2 linked regions of the Drosophila melanogaster genome follow. The protein of the gene in region 1 interacts with the protein of each later gene in a pairwise test. Each region holds a gene or a part of one and is shown in the gene's direction. Other genes may lie near its edges.

Region 1 (7,347 bases):
ACAGCCGCACCCACTTATCCCACGCTGGCTACCAATGCGCTCCTCCGCTTCCATCAACATCAGAAGCAGCAGCACCAGCAGCATCATCATCATCAGCACCATCCCAAACACCTCCATCAGCAGCACAAGCCCCCGCCACACAACTCGACGACAGCCTCGGCGCTACTGGCGCCGCTCCACAGCCTCACGAGCCTCCAGCTGACGCAACAGCAGCAGCGATTTCTGGGCAAGACGCCGCAGCAGCTCCTGGACATAGCGCCCACCTCGCCCGCCGCCGCCGCCGCTGCCACATCCCAGAACGGTGCACATGGACATGGAGGTGGCAATGGCCAGGGCAACGCCTCAGCCGGAAGCAATGGGAAGCGCAAGCGATCCTGGTCTCGCGCCGTCTTCTCGAATCTGCAGCGCAAGGGCCTGGAGATTCAGTTCCAGCAGCAGAAGTACATCACCAAGCCAGATCGCCGCAAGCTGGCGGCACGACTGAATCTCACCGACGCTCAGGTTAGTTAAAAGATGGGATTTTCATAGTTTAACATTTGCACATTCGACTCCTTTCATAGCTCTATAAAAACCAATATATTATTATTTTTATACCCTGATTAGGTCAAGGTGTGGTTCCAGAACCGTCGCATGAAGTGGCGGCACACGCGCGAGAATCTGAAGAGTGGCCAGGAGAAGCAGCCGAGTGCAGTACCCGAATCCGGAGGTGTCTTCAAGACATCCACGCCATCCGGTGATGGTACGCCCCAGGAGGCACTCGACTACAGTTCCGATAGCTGCTCCAGTGTGGATTTGAGCGAGCAGGCCGACGAAGATGATAATATTGAAATCAATGTGGTGGAGTAGAGCCGCCTATGTAGATAGCTCCGTTTACACGTGTAAAATGCCATGTAGATGTATTTATTCCTTCATTGCTAGTTGTAATGTAATGTAAAGTAGACAGATACTGCACAAAGTGAACTTAAATTATTTCAATCTGTAAGATAATCTAAACGTTTATGTGTAAACTATTTAAAATAAATTCTCTAGTAAAATGAACTTGTGAATTCACAGCTTGGTTTATTATTAATTTATTATTCACTATTCCATAGAATGAAGCTATAAAAATACGCAATGCTACGCGGCAAGAACAGAAATTTTAATTAAGCAAATACCGCTGCGATCAGCAGAATATGAAACTCGGCGACAACGGGGAGACCTTCTCTAATCAAGTGAACGATAAAAGACGATACGCGACTGAATGGCCAGAGCAAATACGACTGGAGTGAGTTGGTCAAGCGCGGGGGTGCGAATGGGTTTATCCAATACGATCGGATCGGTTGGTGGATCGCGACAGGGGAGTGAGAGGAGGGGGCACTGCGGATATAGAGCACTAATTAGAAAAACAGTGAGGGTAAATTGTTGGTGCACGACATTGAAATCTTACTCACTTGGGCTTTATTGTCATTGTCGGTCTCTTTGGCTGAGTTCGTTCATTTTTTCAATTACTTTAAGACTCCGCTGAAATTATAGAAAACTATAAAAAAATAACAACGATTTATAGCTGAATTTAAAGAACATTACTAAATAGAGAATAGAATAGAAACAATAAATATATATTACTCATACTTTAGCTGCAATCTTACGTTCATATATGATTTATAATTATATGCGTAATTCCTTTAGGGTATTTAACAGTCGGTGAATGACATATGCAATTTCAGCTCAGTTGAAGAAGTCTGTTTGGGCAACATTTGCTCACGTTCAGTTGTTTTTCCCAAAGCGAAGTGCGCGGTTGAGTTTCAGCTTAGGTGTTTGGTACTGCTCCAGAATTTAAAGATCTTTCAGATCTGCACATTGGATTTGCAAAGATAGCCTGGGCAACATGGGCAACACCCAAGCCCGACAACTGGAGAACCGCCAAGTGCCGAATCGGAGGAGCAGTGAGTGGCGAAAATACGGTTTCCGATTCTGATCATAATGATCACACATTTCGTAACCGCTTCGTAGGCATTTTGTGGAACTTTCGGTACTCGAACACAGTGCGTCGTCGCGAAGATTTGGCCGTAATGGTGCACAACTCTAGGATGAGCATAAGCGAGTGGCTGGACCTTCTGGAGCTGCAGCAGTACGAAGGTTTGCATGATCAGCAGTTCCCAATTGAGACTGTATGTTATGTTAACCAGGAAACCTACAGGAGTTCAGCACCGTGGACGATGTGGTGGACATCACGGACAAGGAGCTGAAGCAATTTGGCGTGCGCGGTGCCCATCGCCAGCGGATGGTCAACAGTTTGCTGGGTGTTCGTGCCAAGCGAAGGCAGTCCATGAATCTGGAAGGTAAGCCAGTGAAACGTAGTTCCCCCCACTGAGTTATCTACTCGTATCTTGTCTAGCAATGAGCAGTGCGCCGCGAGCAGTGCCACGGCGCAAGAACTCCTGTCCATTGGTGTATCTGGGTGAGAATCCTCAAGATATGGCGGGAAGCGGCGATAGCGGACCCGGCGTGATTACCACCAAGAGTGGCAAGGTCCTGAAGCAACTAACCTTTGATGAGACTTCCACCATGTAAGTGTGCATTTCAGAATTCAACCCTTCAAAATCTTCTTAAATTTTCCATGCTATTATATTATGCTAATAATAGTTGCAAAAGTATACCACATCCGGCATGTTGGAGTTTTAAAACTAAAATATTCAACATCCTCCACAACATCCACAAGATTTCTTTTTACCCTCAATGGACAATCATAACATAGACTCTGCGCATGCTCCGCGAATTTCCCAAAAAAGTGACTTCGGGCGTCCTTAGAGTTTTCCAACAAAACCCAAAACAAACTGCGCGGAGTAGCGTGGTGCACAGAAATCGGTGTCCAACCCCCAAAAGTGCACCGCACTCGAGTCCTTTGCCGTGAACTTTTCAGAGTAGATTCGAGCGGCAGGGAGTTCAGACTACTACAATACGAAGGACCTTAAACTGCACTCCTTTTTTTTTCGAGACTAGTTCTGTGCTAGTGAAGTCTATCTATTTTCAAATGGAGAGTTTTGTTTAGAAATCGTATTATTCAGGCAGCTGGTGAATCGAGTTCTTTCGTACTACTGAACAATTGGGTTTGGGTGTGTCCTGTCCTAAATTTTCTACTACAAAATGGGCGTAGCAGGTGAGTGATAACAGAGGCAAGTCGATTTCCTAAAAAAACTAAATCCTTTTAGTTGGTATATAAGTTTTTTGAAGTTCCATTCAGTTCATTATGGCAAAACATTAGGTCTGCAATTTGATTTCTTCTTTTTTTGCACTTGAACTTCACACATATAGTGAGTTGTCCATATACCAAGGACCAAATCCTGTGGGAGCAAATTTCCCCAAAGCCGCCTGTGGGAGGAATGGCCTATGATACTATAAAATTACCCAAAATAAGGGAAATTTACTCACTCATTCGTCTTTCCATTGACAGCTACGAGGAACTGAGGCCGCGCTCCAAGTGCAACAGTCCCCATTGGGCCATCGAAGACAGCAGGATGGAGGGCTATGGGAGCAGCAATGCCACCACTCCGCTGGCCACCGCCCAGCCCAGTCCCAGCGAGCAACAGGAGGCCATCGCCCTGAAGAAGGCGCTCGAGTGGGAGCTGAGTTTGGACGCCAGGGAGCTGCGTTCCCACGCCTGGTACCACGGCGCACTGCCACGCCAGCGGGCCGAGGAGATCGTGCAGCGCGAAGGCGACTTCCTGGTCCGCGACTGCGCCTCCCAGCCGGACAACTATGTGCTCAGTTGCCGGAGCAAAGCGGCTGTACTGCACTTCGTACTTAATAAGGTGGGTTCGCACTGTTCTTGGCATTGGAGTACCAGTTTACCAAGTAGTATCTGATGTGGTTATGCATTGCAGTTGGTGCTTCAACCGGAGACGGTTTACGAACGTGTGCAGTACCAGTTTGAGGAGGATGCCTTCGATACGGTGCCCGACCTAATTACCTTCTACGTGGGATCCGGCAAGCCCATCTCGTCAGCATCGGGAGCGCTCATTCAGTTTCCCTGCAATCGCACCTATCCGCTCTCCTTCTACGGCCACAAGATCGTGGGCAACCAACTGCACACGCAGATGCTGGCCGGTCTGCGAGGTCTGAGTCCTCTGAACTCGCCGATGGGCAGCAATGGTGCAGTGGGAGCAGGTATGAACGCTACCTTTCGCTTCGAACCGCAGCAGCAGCAGCAGCAACAGCTCTCGCCGATGGCTGGCTCACCGGCCAGTCCGCACTGCTCGCCGCCGCGGGCGCGTAGAGAGGTGCCTCCACCGCCGCGGCTGCCGTGCAAGAAGCAACAGCGCTCCCAGAGCCTCACACCGGCCCAGGCCATGTTGGTCAGCAACATCAACAAGCTTCAGGAGCAACAACTACAGATGCAGGAGCTCGAGAATGGCAATGGCAACGGAATAATGCGCTTCCAGACAATCGCCAGGTGCAATCCGACCAGTGAGCAGCACCTGGAGAGCAAGTTCACAACCCACTCGCTGCCCAGACCCAACACTTCGGCGGCGCACGCTCTGCGCCAGCAAGCGGTGGCCCGAATCTCGAGCCTGGCGAGAAACTGCAGCCTGGACTCGCCGTCGGACTCACGGCCGCCCAGTCCGCCGCCCAAGCCACGCAAGGAACCCATGGCAGCGGTGCTGGCATACCAGGCCAGTGGATCCGACTCGGGGAACGGGTCCGGTGATTCGGCTCTAGGGGATGCATGTGAGGCGAGCGTACAGCGGGGTGTGATAATCAAGAATCCCCGATTCATGACCACTTCGGTCTCGAACGGAACGCTGAAGAGCTTCACGGAGTTCGACGTCCTGGCCGCTGAGGAAGAACTATTCACCATGGCCATAGAAGAAGTTAAAACAGTAAGTTAAAGGCTAGCTTTAAAAACTTAATTTTACCATTTATTTGCGTTTTTAGGCAAGCAAGTTTGACTTTGAGAACTTTGTTACTTTGCTACTGCCATCTGTGGAGAACAAGCCCCTGGATGGCGATGCCCTCAACACGTTCAAGATGATGCTTCTGGAGACGGGCCCAAAGCTGCTGGCGGAGCACATCACTCGCATCGACATTGCCCTGTTTTTGGAGGAGCCGTCGAACGAGGAGGACTACTATCTGAGCTGTTCGGGTCTTGAGCTGCTAACACTGCCCCATGGAAAGGTCTTTAGGGAGGACATAATAGAGCGGACGCAGTGCATCAAGCTGATGGTCGCTGTGACCATACTCACCTGTCAAACGGATCTGGACCGAGCCCAACTGCTCAGTAAATGGATTCAGATCGCAGTGGAAACTAAGACGGCTCTCGGCAATCTGTTTGGATTCTGCGCCATCATGTTGGGCCTGTGCATGCAACAGGTGAATACTCGTTCGGTGCAGTGTACACTAAAACAAATTACTTTTTAGTTAGTTTAACGCCGAGAGGTATAAACAAGTACATTAGGTCATCACAGTTTTTTGCTTAGCAAACGAGTGATGATTTAGATGATCTTTTTATTATCACAGTTAATCACACGTGAGCAATTAGCAGTTTGGCAACTTGTTTGCAAACCATTAAGCTACATTGTTAGAGCGATACATCATAACCGATTGTCCCACCACCTCTTTCAGATCCAAAAGCTCGACCAGGCCTGGCACATCCTGAGGCAACAGTACACGGACAGCGCCTTCACCTTCGAGGCCAAGTTGCGACCCACGTTGAGCATCATGAACGAGGCCTCCAATCCACAGGCTCCAAACACAACCGTTCCCCATGTTCTGCTGTATGCACTACTGATCGATCGACCCGTTATGGACATCATAAACCACTCCAACATTGACGATCGCCCAGCTCTGTACCACACCTGTATTGCTCCTTGGGAGTCGAAAGCGGATGACTTTGGCATGACCATTAATTTCCAGCACCTGGATGCATCGCGTGGCTTCCTGAAGAACTTGGAACTGTATCGAAAGAATGCCAAGATCATCCTGGAGGATGCTAGTCCTCGGCTCGATGAGCTTCTAGCTGATGCTTTTCGGTAATATGATAGAATACACTATTCTCGAGTCTTCCTCAAGTTTCCCATATCCTCACAGAACCGAGTTCCATGTCAAGTTCCTATGGGGCAGTTCCGGAGCAACGGCCAAGGCCGAAGATCGGCACAACAAACTGGAAAAGGTGCTCACCCTGATGGCCGACAAGTTTTGCATGATGGCCGAGCAGTAAGCTGTGAAATAATATGGACTTAAGTTTCTGGCCGATATCAAATGAACTAACTTAAAGCGAACCTATGCCAGGACCTCCTATCTACTATCCACAATGTCTCCAGACCCTCCGCATCTTTAAATTTCGTGCTGTCTCTACCTCAGCCTGAGTATACATATATCATTTCAGCAGAAACACAAAAGCACTTTATGTTACAGTTCAAATACCGTTTAATCCTTAGTTAAGTTAAATTTAGTATTGTACGCGTATGCAAAACGAACTAGTTATCATATTTTTATGGAAAAACTCTTTAAGAGCCACCTCACTCTGATGTACTACCAAAGTCTTGTATTTACTTACCAATCCCATTATTTATTCTATGCAATAACTTACTCGACTATAGAAGAGACAATATACATTAATCAAAAAAAAAAAAAAAACAAAAAACATCGTAAGCAAACATACTCTCTCACAAAATGATATAGGCATAACGCAATGAATGCATAATTTTTGCAATTTTGTATATGTAAAGATAATGATAACAATAAAGAAACTACTTAAACCCAAATGAATGTTATCTCTTTAGAGGTTTCCGACCTCTGGTTTACAATGCTTGCAGACTTTACTTCGCATTAAATTCATATTTTCAACACAAAGGTTATGATTATTATTATTATTATTAAGTATTAAAATCAAGTAAAAGACCCCTACGGGTATTTTTAAGATTCTTATATTTTTAACTTTCGTAATGACTTTCAAAAATTGGACATCACTTAGGGGGACCGTAAATAGCTTATAGAAAAAGCAATGTCAACCAAATCTTAGCCTAATTAGCCCAATCAGCAAACACGTCGATTAACATTACGGCACTCTGGAGTACTTATAAGCTGGAAAAGCACTTGTGCGGATGGAAAATATCTCAACGAGGAATTCAAAACGAATACCGATTAGCCGGCGAAATGTACAGCACTATCAGCCACTCCAGCGGCGACCAACAGGCCTTATCGGGCCACCAGGAAAGGCGCGTCCAAAGTTCCCAAGGCTGGCCATCCAAACCATAACTCAAACTCACTGTCCACTGCCCACCAGCCATTACCCTGACATTGTGCTCCCGTCGGCACTGGCGATCGGTTGTGTATTCTGGTCCACCCATCCGAGTGGAGCGAGCTTTCAAG
Region 2 (4,935 bases), on another chromosome or scaffold:
CTTACGGCCTTGCGCTCGTCTTTGCTGGGCTCCGGTACCAGCCGAAAGAGCAAGTTCATCGAGTAGACGTACTCGGCCTCCGCGTTCCAGCGTTCCACCTGGTCAAAGTTACGGAAGCGTCGTAACCCCGCCTCGTTTGTGTTGCTCGAGAGCGTGCGGCCCATGTACATGATGGCGTTGCGAAACTCGGGGCTCCGGAACAGGCGCTCTATCTGGCTGCTGACCTTGTCTTTTTCGGCAACGGCCTCGTCGTCCTCAAAGGTATCCGCATCCTCCGTCTGCGCTAGAGCCGAGGTCAGGTCCTTTACCGAACTCATAGTGGCTGTTGCGAACTCCTTGGTGATATTGTTCAGCGTGTCGTACATCTCAAAGTTGGAAACGTAAGAGCTGACGGTGGCCTTGGTTATGAGGATGGTGTTGACTGCCCGAGTGGTGAAGAGCAGAGTATCTGTCTGAGCGTCATTGTCTGAGCGCCGGCGAATTTTGCCTTTCCCTATTGTCAGATACTCGTAGTTTCGGTTGTCTCGCTCCGCATCGTCGCCCTCGGGCGATCCCTTGGCCACCGTCGTCTGCGTCTGGCTGTGAATTTCGAAGAAGTCAGACTTGCGTAAGGTGATCTTTAAAAAGGACTTGGTATACGGCTTTGGCTCGTACGCCTCTTCGAGAGCCTCAACAGTGCTGTACGGTTCCCAGTTAATAGTTTCATAAAGTATCTAGTGGAGAATGACGATTCCCGCTGGGATGATACAAAAAAGTTTATATAAACTTACCCCGTTCATCAGGTCGTCAATGGACTGCTTATTGCCGCCTATTCCGGCCCGAACACTAGACCGCGTGCGGGATCTGGTCGTGCTCTTCGCTACCATTGTAGTGAAGTTAGTCATTTGGTGCATGACATTTAGGTTGTACTTCATGAACTGCTCCACATAGGTGTCATCTTGGATCGACTTAGGTGTCATATCAACCTCCTCGCCATAGATCTTTTCCAAAACCTAAGGGGAGTTTGCAATTAGTGGTGGTGAGTTTGTAAGTCCTTTGGGTTCACCTTTATCTGAGATCGATACTGCAGGTCGGCAAGTGTTTCCACACTGTAATAGTGCGTAGTATCTTTCTTCTTAGCCTTAGACTCTTCGGCTTGTGTCTGATTAACCACCACGGACTTCTTTTTGAGTTCGTTGTCTAAGTTACTGGACCGCTTTTTGACGCGTGGGGAACGGTGTTCTATGTAAGAAGTGCAAATTAGATCTTCCAGTAATTACTTACTTTAAAGATACTCCCATTTTCTTGGCTAGTGACTGTATTTCTTACTGACGCGGACATGACTTGTATTTTGTTATGTACTCCTCTTGATTTCGTCCAAATTTTTAATGAGTATTTTGTTATTTTATTATTTTGAGGGCACTGGTTTCTGGTAATACATATGTTTTAACTGCTGATATAACTTTTTTTTACCAAACATTAGTTTCATAGTGTACTTATCTTTCTTTAAAGATTTAAAATGTAATCAAAAACTGAAATGCTTGGAAATCAATTTAAAAAATTAATATTGTGTAATATTAAATTTGAAGTTTAAAAACTCCGAATACCACGAATTTTTACCGTACGGTAACGAAAGGGCTTTGTGCTACTTAACAGGAGCACTCTCTTACTCTCCGTTTCCGTGAGCGTTTTTTACCGAGCTCCCCCTGCGCCTGCTCGTTAGATAATACCGAAATAAAGTTGTCAACCAAGCCACCCTCTGTGGGCGAAGGACGACCGGCTGCCTTTTGAGGTTGCATATGGTTGAGTTAGTTAGATTCGGAGTCGCCAGCCATGCAAACCTGGTTCACACTCGCGTCCGTAATCGTGCTTTTGTTTGGGATGTATTCCAATGTGTAGAGATTCGATTTCTCAATGTAGGTCTGCTTATTTTTTGGTACGCTCCTGATATGAAAAAAACTTGCGGCAGCATCAAAATCTAAAAGGCATCTAACCTAACAAGAGCTAACAATTAATGGAGTGTCAAAGTGAAAACCGAGTACCAGAAAACTCAATTAGTAATGTTGCAACGTACCATACTCTGCCCGAATCCCAAACCTCATCGGTTTTGGCCAAGCATCAGCAGCGACAGCTGAAAGAACCGCAACAGCCGCCGCAGTACGTTATAAATTCAGTGGCAATGCACGCCAAGACGACCACGGCGAACTCCATCACGGGCGGCACACTGCATCGGGCAAAAAGTGCGCAGGTACGTCCAGAATGTTATAAATTAAATGGATAGTATCCGAGGAAGTGGATCGAAGTAAAGCGATGTGATCGCGATGCTTATTGGAGGTAAACCTATTTGACAGGAATTGATATTGACTGCCAACTAGGTGCGCTTAATCGGTGGGGAAACTGGATTTATATATTTGTCCATGGATAATTCAAATCATTCATATTGTTTTTCGGTATCTCAAATCGTTCCGTTAAAAACTTTTGTGCTCTGTACAGGTGTAACAAACTCTTACTATTTTTTACATTTACTACATTTCGGCAAGTAAAATCTGTTACAGCCAAATTCATCGAACGACCCTCTTCCACACGCCATTGCCTGGTTCGACGCGAGTGCAAAAACGAATTTTACTCAGCGAAGCTACACAGATACATACAGATTATGGATACGCAGGGTGCGTAACGTAAACTAACGCTGTAATACTGTTTCTGCCGGCTAACCAAGCTGGGACGGCTAAGTGGCTAAATGGCTACAGGACCATCGGGCCTAAATGCAGCTTCATGGAGGCCGCATGCGTGCAGAGAGAATCGGGCGATGTGCCCATGTTATGTAAACATATTCGGCAGGAAGATAGGGCAGGGTGGACCTCGAGTCGTGACGAAGCAAAAGTCAGGGATCTGGCTAAGGCTGCTGGCTGACTGATTCCCGTGGAGAGTAAGGGTCGTCAGGTGGTGGTGGCTTCTGTGCGTCGCGTCATTCATCAGACGCTCCATGATGTGAAACAAATTCGCCTGGGGAGGCATTGGATGCTTAAGTGAGGTGCTAAAGTTAAGCTGCCAACTTCAATGATGTGGTACTTGACCAGCTACCGATTCAGAAATGTATCTTTTGATTTCGCTGTCAGTTCTACCCTTGTATATATGTATGTATGTATGCTTTCAATTTTATTTGCTCGCGAAAGTTGCTATACGATTTTTCAATGCCAATATGAGAACTGCTATCGACCTTGCCGGGGGTATGAACTTTCCGCAATTAAACCTCACCGGGGTGGTTGTTCTCTGTTCTTTTTCCCGCCACCGAACCACGCTTCGTTCTTTTCCTTAAGCAACATGTTTGGTTACTGAGAGCACTTTTTGCTGAATTTTTCCGAGTGCCGTGCTCCAAGAGCAAGTTGCTCGGAAACATCTGGAGGGTTTAATCAATCTTTGGTGTCCTGACGAGCCGCGAACAATGTTTTGTCAAGTACAAAGGAAGGGAAGATTCTTCTGATCTGATCTGTCATGATAATGGGATGCATTGAAAATGGCCCCAAAAAAAAACTGTTAAAGCAGAAGTTCGTAATTCTAAATCATTTTATGACGATATTGATATATATTAATATATATTTAAATTGCAAAAAGCCCCTAATCAACGTTTTGATGTCTTTTATCTGGCTACTGTGGCTGCCTGTACACAATTTAAAATTTTTGCTGGCACATTTTATTATTACAAATGGCACTTTGGAGAATTGTGTACCACGGATTTTGTAAGCGGCGCTCTAATGATTTATGAATTTATTCAATGACAATTGGCAAGTTGAGCCAAAGTGCTTTTAGCTGGTGAAGCGGACCGGTCATTGAGCCTCGGAACCACTTCATTCGTGGCTGGGAATTGAAATGCACAGAGGAAGAGTTTGAGTTCGCAGTAGTTCACAGTTAGTTCACTGGTGGCCGTCATAGGCGCCAACATATTTTGTTCTTGCATTTAAATTATGAGCTCTGCCATTATGCATCAATCGTTAATCCAGCGGCGGTTAAAAGCAGCACAAAAAGAAAAGACAGTATCTATAACCAACACAGAATAAACAACAATAAAGAAAGTGGAAAGCCGGGAAAAACGTGCGCTGAAAAGTGAAGAATTTAAGTGTACGTGTTGAAAATTCCTCAATTTGTTGTCTGAGAATGAGTATAATTATTTGTGTGTTTCCAGCGGTGGCTTTATTCACCGCGTTCTTTTCCCTGCTAAGACATATTCTTTGGTAACGTGACGGTAGCGAAACTATCTGTTATATGCACACAAAAATAACATTGTGCATCCTCAGTTTTAAGAACTACGTTTTCATGCGAAAATGGTTTTTGATTAAATAACTCCTTAAGTTTTATAGGACTTAAATTGGCAAGTCCAAGAAAAATCATGAAATCACACGCGGTTTCAAAAATCACTTAACCCTGTTGACGTAAATATTTTTCCAGTCCCAGCACTGGATATATCTTCTTTTGCAACATTCGTGCTGCACATGGCAAATATGTATATGATTATTGGTGTCTCGAAGAGATATATCCACTCATTCTAGTCGCCCGGTTTCCCACTCCTCTGAACTTAAAATAATTTATGCAGTTTGGGGACAGCTTTTCCTGGGCAGACTAAAGCGTTGCGGCATTCAATAAATTGCTCTTAAATTATGGAAATGCAGAGCAGCCGAGATTTATTGAGAAGTTTCTAGAGGTGGGGAAAATGTGTATTTTTGGATAGGCTGTATATACGTATTGAGTAAATTCCGATAAACTTAATGTGTATGTCTTAAACCGAAAGCATCGTCATTTTGAGATTATCATCGATCTATGAATACTATGAATTTTTCACATCCCAAATTCTGCCTTTATTGCTGACCCATTAATCCAAATATATCAGATGGCGTCGTTTATATCTCATTGCAGATCAATTGGGCTATTTGGTCGGAATCTTTTTGGTTTCGGGGTCGC

Evidence for each region. Proteins that work in one complex are often made in the same cells at the same time.
Region 2: the proteins of CG9098 (region 1) and p130CAS interact in a two-hybrid assay, tested with the Drosophila melanogaster proteins (2 studies listed by BioGRID).

What each region holds. Positions count from the first base shown.
Region 1 is NT_033779.5:6,006,754-6,014,100, reverse strand, and holds CG9098 (uncharacterized protein), read left to right. Parts: upstream 1-1,762; 5' UTR 1,763-1,864; coding exon 1,865-1,922; intron 1,923-1,989; coding exon 1,990-2,115; intron 2,116-2,165; coding exon 2,166-2,318; intron 2,319-2,374; coding exon 2,375-2,546; intron 2,547-2,867; exon of another isoform or gene 2,868-3,136; intron 3,137-3,430; coding exon 3,431-3,788; intron 3,789-3,860; coding exon 3,861-4,856; intron 4,857-4,911; coding exon 4,912-5,346; intron 5,347-5,598; coding exon 5,599-6,005; intron 6,006-6,063; coding exon 6,064-6,193; 3' UTR 6,194-6,737; downstream 6,738-7,347. Other genes in the region: H2.0 (homeodomain protein 2.0), read left to right, coding at 5-501, 604-846.
Region 2 is NT_037436.4:151,078-156,012, forward strand, and holds the start of p130CAS (p130CAS), read left to right. Parts: upstream 1-1,806; 5' UTR 1,807-1,993; coding exon 1,994-2,227; intron 2,228-4,935. Other genes in the region: Dic61B (dynein intermediate chain at 61B), read right to left, coding at 1-713, 771-992, 1,046-1,195, 1,264-1,320.